Linked DNA regions of Cricetulus griseus. The protein of the gene in region 1 purifies or fractionates together with the protein of each later gene. This does not show direct contact. Links are inferred from orthologs where the notes say so. Each region holds a gene or a part of one and is shown in the gene's direction. Other genes may lie near its edges.

Region 1 (3,647 bases):
CTAGCCAAGGCTACATAGGTAAAGAGGCCTAGATTTGCAGCTGGAGCCAGCACCTTGCACCGTGTCCCCTGGTTGTCCCCACTGTGTGACACTGCAGACATCATTTCTGAAGTCAGTGAGGCCATGGATCTTTATAAAAATCATAGGACTAGCTTTTCATGAAGGGTGTCCTTAAGTGTTGCTACAAGCAAACTAAGCTATTACTCGGGGGAAGTAGTGATTTCTAAGATAGTCCAGGGATTACTAATATAGGGCTTTTTAGACTTGAGAAAATTCTTTTGGTGTCTCTGGTTTGAGTTTTGTTACTAAATAAAGCAACACAGGCAGCGGGACAAATTATCTTGCATCTGTCTAAAATTAAAGACATTTTGGTGTTTATTGCCTTGTAAAAATATCAAAGTCTGCTTCTTAAGATGAAAGGAGGTCACAGGAGTCTCAGATTTCAGAAAAGTGCCAAGAAATCTTTCGTCCTGATCGACATCACAAGCTCCTTACTGAGGTCTGGGATCCTCCCCAATAGACATCTGGTCAGATCTTTTGGAACTTGGTTCTGATGTCAGGATACACAGATTCCAGCCAGATGTGCACTGCTGTTGAACCCTTGATGTCAGCAAAATGTGTTTTATGGCTGCTGACAGGCTGGCGTCTGGAGGCCTTGTATCTCATGTACTTGATCCAGCAAATCCTCTCTGCCAGAGCCCTTCGGCATAGTGATCGATGGTCTGACCCTCATAATGAGCCTTCTTGCTTTACTCATAGGTGGGAAACTACCTCCGTATGTTCCGAGGTTCTCTGTACAAGAGATATCCCTCACTCTGGAGGCGACTAGCCACTGTGGAAGAGAGGAAGAAAATAGTTGCATCGTCACATGGTAAAAAAACAAAACCTAACACTAAGGGTGCGTCTTCACGAGGGTTTGTAAACCTGTTTCAAAACCACTCGCTTATGTCATGAAGATAAAACGTTTTCACTCCAGTGTCTTCATTGCAGCCTGACCTTAGTTCGGTAGGGAGCATCCCAGGGGCAGGCCACCCTGCCAGCGCACACATGGTTCAGTTGAGAGTAGCTCAGCGAGTCTTTGGTGCTCCACTGTTGTGTGTTCCTGGCTGGGCCAGTGGGTATGTGAGGGGCCAGGGCCAGGGCCAGGGTAGTAGCAGGTGCTGTGAAGACATGTTGGTCTCAAAACGTTTTAGGAATGCTGTGATTTGCTACCATTTGCTGTGAGTGTGTTGCCGTAGTCGTCCTTCTTGCAGCCCTAGTAGCAGACGGTGGCCCCAGCCCTCACTTTCTTCTGGGGCTTTCACCGCTTCCCTCCCAGAGCACATTTATCTCATAATACTTCATCTTGGCAACCAGTATGCTAAGCTCATGTGCATGTACCCATTCCACGTGGCCTGCCCTGTGCCTGGGGCTTGCTAGGTGAGCCACCTGGTGCTAGTGAAACTAGTGCAAGGTCTGGGCTGTGGCAACTCTGTGCAGAGTGAAGATGCTCTTCATACATTTTGGGGCCTCTAGGAAGAACATTTGGGTATGGGCGCAACATGCCATTTGGCCGGTGGCAAAACTGCTTTCCACTCAGCAGAGGCACCCTGTAGAGAGCTGCCCTGGGCCTGGGTGCATGTGTCCGTGCATGCATGCGTGCTCATGAGCACTCTGTAGTCTGTCTTGTCAGTAGGTGCTAATGTGCTAATGTAGTTGTCTGTTGTGGTGTATTGGGGTTCTTTTAATGCAGGAGCCAGAGCTGCTTTTTATCCACTTCTGAAAGAATCCACTATTGCCTGAAACAGTTTCCTTTGTGTCCCCTCTGCCAAAAGTGGAATATAGTCACTAGCATGGTGGCTACCTAGCTTTGCCTGCCCTTCCTTGAGTTCCCATGAAGCCTTAGTGGTCTTGCTACCATGTGCCTTCCTTTCCTATAACCAAGTGAGTCCTCCAGCAAAGCTAAGCAGGTCCTGCAGATAAGTAGCAGCGCTTGACAGAGGTTCCCTAGAACTGGGCGGGGAGGGGGGGGGAGGCATATCACGTGGTGTGAAGTTCTGTCTTGTTTTCCAGACAACCACATCTGGCCTGACTCAGGGATGGTAACTTTTGCTTGGTGTGAAATAGTTCTTTCCAACTCTCTGGGCTCTTGTTTTAAAAGAAGAGGATTCATCTTTCATTCTGTCTCCCATCTTGCTTTGTGTTTTAGATTGTGGTGGTGTCAGACCTCTTCCCACTGGGGTGTTACTCTGAAGCCTTCCTGGCAGCCCCTAAGCTGCAGCTACCCCCAAACATGTCTGCCCCAGAGCTAGTGCTCTTAAGAGGCAAATTCGTCCAAATCCATCCCACCAGAGGCTTTCTCCACTGAGATGTCTAGGTAAAGCCTCAGTCCGGATTGCCCTTTTGGAAGAGGCTAGCACTCAGCAGTACTGAGTTTGACACCTTGCTTTCCCCACCTCCTGCATGTGAGGACCTCGTGTGCTGTATCAAGTTGGTTGTCAGCTTGTTCACACTGCTGCAGGATGACCACAGTGGGGTTTCTCTGCTTACAGATCATGGGTACACCACCCTCGCCACCAGCGTGACGCTACTGAAAGCCTCGGAGGTAGAAGAGATTCTGGATGGCAACGATGAGAAATACAAGGCTGTGTCCATCAGCACAGAGCCCCCCACCTACCTCAGGTATGCCTTCCTAATCTCAGTTTGCTCCAGAGACATGTGGGGGTATGTGTGTGTGGGGGTCTCATCCTGAAGAACAGGGTAAAGTGAAAGTTGCTCACTCACTATGTTTATAATTGCCTGACCTTGGTTTCTAAGTTTCTTCTGTATCTTTGACATTCTTAACAAACATAGGCCAAGTCTTGAGTTCTGGAATGTTCTGAATCTGGGACTCATTTGCCCCCCCCCAAAAAAAATTGTGACTCAGATAAACTTCCAAAAGAAACAATAGATTTGAATACACACAGGTAGAACTTTGAAAAAACCTTTTCCTTCTTTCTTTTTTGAGACAGTTCTCATGTGGCCCAGGCTGGTCTTAAAATTTGCGGTGTAGCTAAGTATGGTGTTAAAGTTAGAATCCTCCTGCCTCTACCTCCTCGATGCTTTGATTACAAGTGTGTGCCATCATGCCTAATTATAATAGTGCTGGGGATGGTACCCAGGACTTTGTGCACACGAGCAGCGCTCTACCAACTGAACCATCTCCTCCTCAGGTCCAAACAGGTGTTTTTGGTTTTCTTTTCTTTTTTTTTTTTTTTTTTTTTTGATCAGGGTTTTTCTGTGGCCCTGGCTGTCCTAGAACTCACTCTGTAGAGCAGGCTGGCCTTGAACTCACTGGTGCTAGGATTGAAGGTGTGCATCATCACCACCCAGTCAAGACAGGGTTTCTCTATGTAGCCCTGGCTGTCCTGGAGCTCACTCTGTAGACCTTCCTGGCCTCGAGCTCAGATGTCTGCCTGCCTCTGCCGCTGGAGTTGTCTTTTAAAAATAACTTTTAAAAGTTGTATTATTGTAGGCTGGAGAGATTGCACGTGTGTGACATGCCATGCGTGTGGAGGTCAGGGGACAGCTTTGTAGAATCAGTGCCCTCCATGTTTTACATGTGTTCAGATCACCACACTCGCAGAGCAAGTGCCTGTGCCCAGTGGGCCATCTTCCCATCCTAGACT
Region 2 (3,747 bases), on another chromosome or scaffold:
ATGTCCTGGAACTCCTTCTGTAGACTAGGCTGGCCTCAAACTCACAGAGATCTGCCTTCATCTGCCTCCCAAATGCTGGGGTTAAAAGTGTGTGCCACCATCACCTGGCTACAAGTGCATTTACTAAGCTGTCTTGCTGACCTGATGTGTGGATTTGTTTATGTCTTATTTTTAAAGTATATACATACATACATACATGTACATACACATGTACACACACACATTCTATGTGGGAACTATGGAACAGCACTTGTCTAGCACTAAACAAAAACTAATTCCCTCAGGCCCAAGCAGGGAATTGAACTGAGGGTCAAAATTATGAGACTTCTGATTTATGGCATATTTTCCAATCCAGCACTCAGAATGGTTCTCTAACATAATTGTTTTAGTTTTTTGTTTATTTTGCTTTTCAAGACAGGGTTTCTCTATTCTAGATCTCACTCTATAGGCCCAGATGGCCTCAAACTCACAGAGGCCCACCTGCCTGTGCCTTGAGTGCTGGGATTAAAGGGGTGCACCACCACAACCTGGGTGTTTGATTTTATTTATTTATTTATTTATTTATTTATTTATTTATTTAGAGACAGGGTCTCACTATTTAGTCCTGGCTAGCCTGGAATTCCTTACATAAGCCAGGCTGGCCTTGAACTCACGGAGATCTGCCAGCTTCTGCCTCCCAAGTGCTGGGATTAAAGGAGTAGGCCACCATGCCGGACTACTGTTCTTATTTTTATTTTTCACATTAGGGCCATGTGATTGAAATGGTAAAATGATGTGCTTGGGGGGAAAGCCCATACATTTTGTTCTCATTCTCCGCTAGCTCTCTCTACCAGACCCCAGCACCGTCCCCAAACTTTAGGGGGTAACACAATCAATGCCGTCACAGAAGAAGTTCATGGCTGCAACCTGGAATAACTCCTTTCCTCAGTTTCCCCACCTGTGAAATGACTTGAGTTGGGCTAGTTCTTCTCCAGGCACTGGTTTGCTCACATTAGGTCATCTCTTTTCCCAGCATCCACCTGGGCAAGCATTTGCTCTGGTCCAGTCGGTTTAGCCTCAGCTGCCTACCTATCTGTCCCTATCCTAATTGACCGCAGTAGATTCTGCCACCTAGTTCTGTCCTGGGATCGGGAACAGCCCCTCAAAAGTCTTTCTGAGTTGGACCAGTCCAGTTTACCAGCTGCTCCCGGTCAGTAAACTGCGCTTCCACCAGGAGCCGTTTAAGATTAATTTGTGGTCCTGTGACCTACGCCAGCGAGCTTTATCCCCGACTGGGACAATTTATCTCCAAGGAAAAGGAAGCCTTGCGACAATGCCTACAGCCACCGGCCTCTGGCACCTTAAACTGCGACCCTAGTTTGATCATGGTGAGGCAGACGTCCTAGCTCGCACATTTCAACAAGGCAGCTAGCTGGCCAGAAACCGGCACCTCAACTCTTTCCAAGATCACGAGTCCGGAACCACCGCCTCCAACTCTGAGAAGTCAAGCGCCCGACAAGTAACTTGCACGATCGCACCCGAGGCCACCAACCCAAGGCCAGGGCACCCACGGCCTCCTGTCTGCCATCCCCAGGGTGTGTGTCTTGGGGGGAGGGGTTCCCACCACATCCGCGGCCTCCGGGGGAGTCGGCGCGCGGGCCAGTCCCGCGTGCTGGGAGGTCGCGGTCATCCCTGATCGTTTCCCTGGGTGAGGTCCCCGAGGCTCCCCGGGGAGGGCGGCGGCGCCCGGAGGCCGCACTAGTGGCGGCCGCGCCGCTCCCCCTCGCTCTGTGCAGCTGCCGCCCGGCGCTTGCGCACTGGGCCCCGGGCGCGCGGCGGCACCAGGCTTTGTGTGTGCGCGTATGTGTGTGAGTGTGTGTCTGTGCGCGAGTGAGAGAGCGGGCGAGTGTGGCGAGCAGGACCCGGCGGGCGCGCTCCCCCAGCCTCTCTCTCTCTCCTCTCTCTCTCCCTCCCCGCCAGAACCATGTCGGGCAGGTCGGTTCGAGCCGAGACCAGGAGCCGGGCCAAAGATGATATCAAGAGGGTCATGGCGGCTATCGAGAAAGTGCGCAAATGGTAAGCCGAGGCGCCTGCTCGCTCTCTCGCTCGCCCCGGCTCGCTGCACCGCGCCACGGCCGCTGGCTAGCCCGGACCCAGCTCACGGAACCGCGGGGCGCAGCGGCCCCGGGCCCGGAGTTGGCGAGGACGCGCGGCCCGGGTCACCTGCGCCCCGCGGGGGCTGCGTCCGCTGCCCAGGTGTGCTTGGCGCGGGGTCGCCCACCTGGCGGCGGCGGCGGCGGCGGCGGCGACAGCGGCAGCGGCGGCGAAGGCGACGGCGGCTGCAACCCGGAGCTCGGAGCTCGGGAGAGGGGGGTTCGCGGCCGGCCCCAGAAGCCATTTCGTTTTTTTGTGCAAGTCACATGAAAGCGGCTTCCCGCGCGCCGGGGCCGTGATGCCGGCGGTGGCGGCGGGCAGAGCGCGAGCTCCATTGTGCGGCGCGGAGCGGGCCGCCGTCTCCTCCCGGGGCGGCGCGGCGCCGGTGTCCCCCCAAAACACACACACACACACACACACACATACACACACACACCCCACGCCCCGACCCGACCCGCCCGCAGCTCCCCGCCTCCCGGGCCTCGGCGCCCTCGAGTCTGCGGAGTTTGCAGAGCGCGAGCCGTTTAAATTTAGCGCTTTGGGCAGCCTGGAGCGAGGGCTCCGGGCGAGGAAGGAAGATGGGGGCGAGCGCTGGGAAGGCGGTGGCGCGGCTGGCGAGCGGGGCACCCGCGGCTCCCACCCGCTCCGCGCGGCACCCGGAGCTCGGGGGACGCGATGTTTGCTGCCAGAAGCCAAGTCCTGGGCCGTGTCTGCCTTCTCCGAGCTGGAGCTGGTGTTTGTTTTGCGGAGAGAGCGAGCGACCGTTGTTTTTGTTCTCTGCACTGGGGGAGGAGGAGGGGACCGCGAGATTCGGTGTGGGCCGTGCGTGTTTTTCAAGCTCAAATTAGATCGTGCCCGGCGTGGCCTCGTTATAATTAGCAGGATGGAACATTTTCACGGGCCTCGTCGGGATCTGACTCCCAGGAGGCCCTAGAGGCCAGGCCGGAGGCGCCAGTAGTCCACCTCCAGGTTGGGTCAGACTTGTTGAAAACTCCCTGCTCCCCAATTTCAACTTTATTATGTCTTTTTTTTTTTTTTTTTCTCACGGCTTCATCAGGGTCCGAGAGGGAGACGAGCAGCCGCGAGGGTGCCCCTAAGTGTCAGCGGCCGTGGGCTGGTCCCGTCCTTTATAGGAACTGGCCAGGCCCCGCTGCAGGCTGTTTCTTTGGGGGGTGTCATTTCTTGAGTAACGCCGCTGTTGTTATTGCCTTTAAAAAAAAAAAAAAAACACTACTCGGGGGCCTGTCTCAGGTCTGGTGGTGTCACAAGTTAGCTGTCCTTTCAGAGTGAAACCCAACAAAAAAAAGGCAAGGAGAAAAATCAATAAAGTCCACGTGCTCCCGGGCCTCCTATGGAAAGGGCTGTCTTCGGATGGCCGGATGCCTGCCGTGGGCTGGGTTTGGCTCCAGTGGGACAAAGAATTTTCACAACCGTGAGAAGGGGAGGCTTTCCAAAGTTGAGATCCAAGTCCTGGGTGCCGGGAGCTCCCCTGCTGAGCAAGGCGCCCAGTGCCCAACTGGAGCCATTTAAAAATGGCAGAAACAGCTGCAGGCCAAAACACAGAGGAAAACAACACAGTGCCCCCTCTCCTGTGGGACTCTCAAGGGAAGGCTG

The links. The genes of interacting proteins can lie anywhere in the genome.
Region 2: the proteins of Smarcb1 (region 1) and Bcl7a purify together in Homo sapiens (affinity purification with mass spectrometry; 7 studies listed by BioGRID and IntAct, counting the BioPlex papers as one, with this or other methods). This does not show direct contact. The link is inferred for Cricetulus griseus from reciprocal best matches to the Homo sapiens genes SMARCB1 and BCL7A.

The regions. Positions count from the first base shown.
Region 1 is NW_023276806.1:262,704,425-262,708,071, forward strand, and holds part of Smarcb1 (SWI/SNF-related matrix-associated actin-dependent regulator of chromatin subfamily B member 1), read left to right. Parts: intron 1-759; coding exon 760-898; intron 899-2,531; coding exon 2,532-2,661; intron 2,662-3,647.
Region 2 is NC_048597.1:103,112,975-103,116,721, forward strand, and holds the start of Bcl7a (B-cell CLL/lymphoma 7 protein family member A), read left to right. Parts: upstream 1-1,060; 5' UTR 1,061-1,574; intron 1,575-1,601; exon of another isoform or gene 1,602-1,687; intron 1,688-1,801; exon of another isoform or gene 1,802-1,839; intron 1,840-1,845; exon of another isoform or gene 1,846-1,959; 5' UTR 1,960-1,963; coding exon 1,964-2,055; intron 2,056-3,747.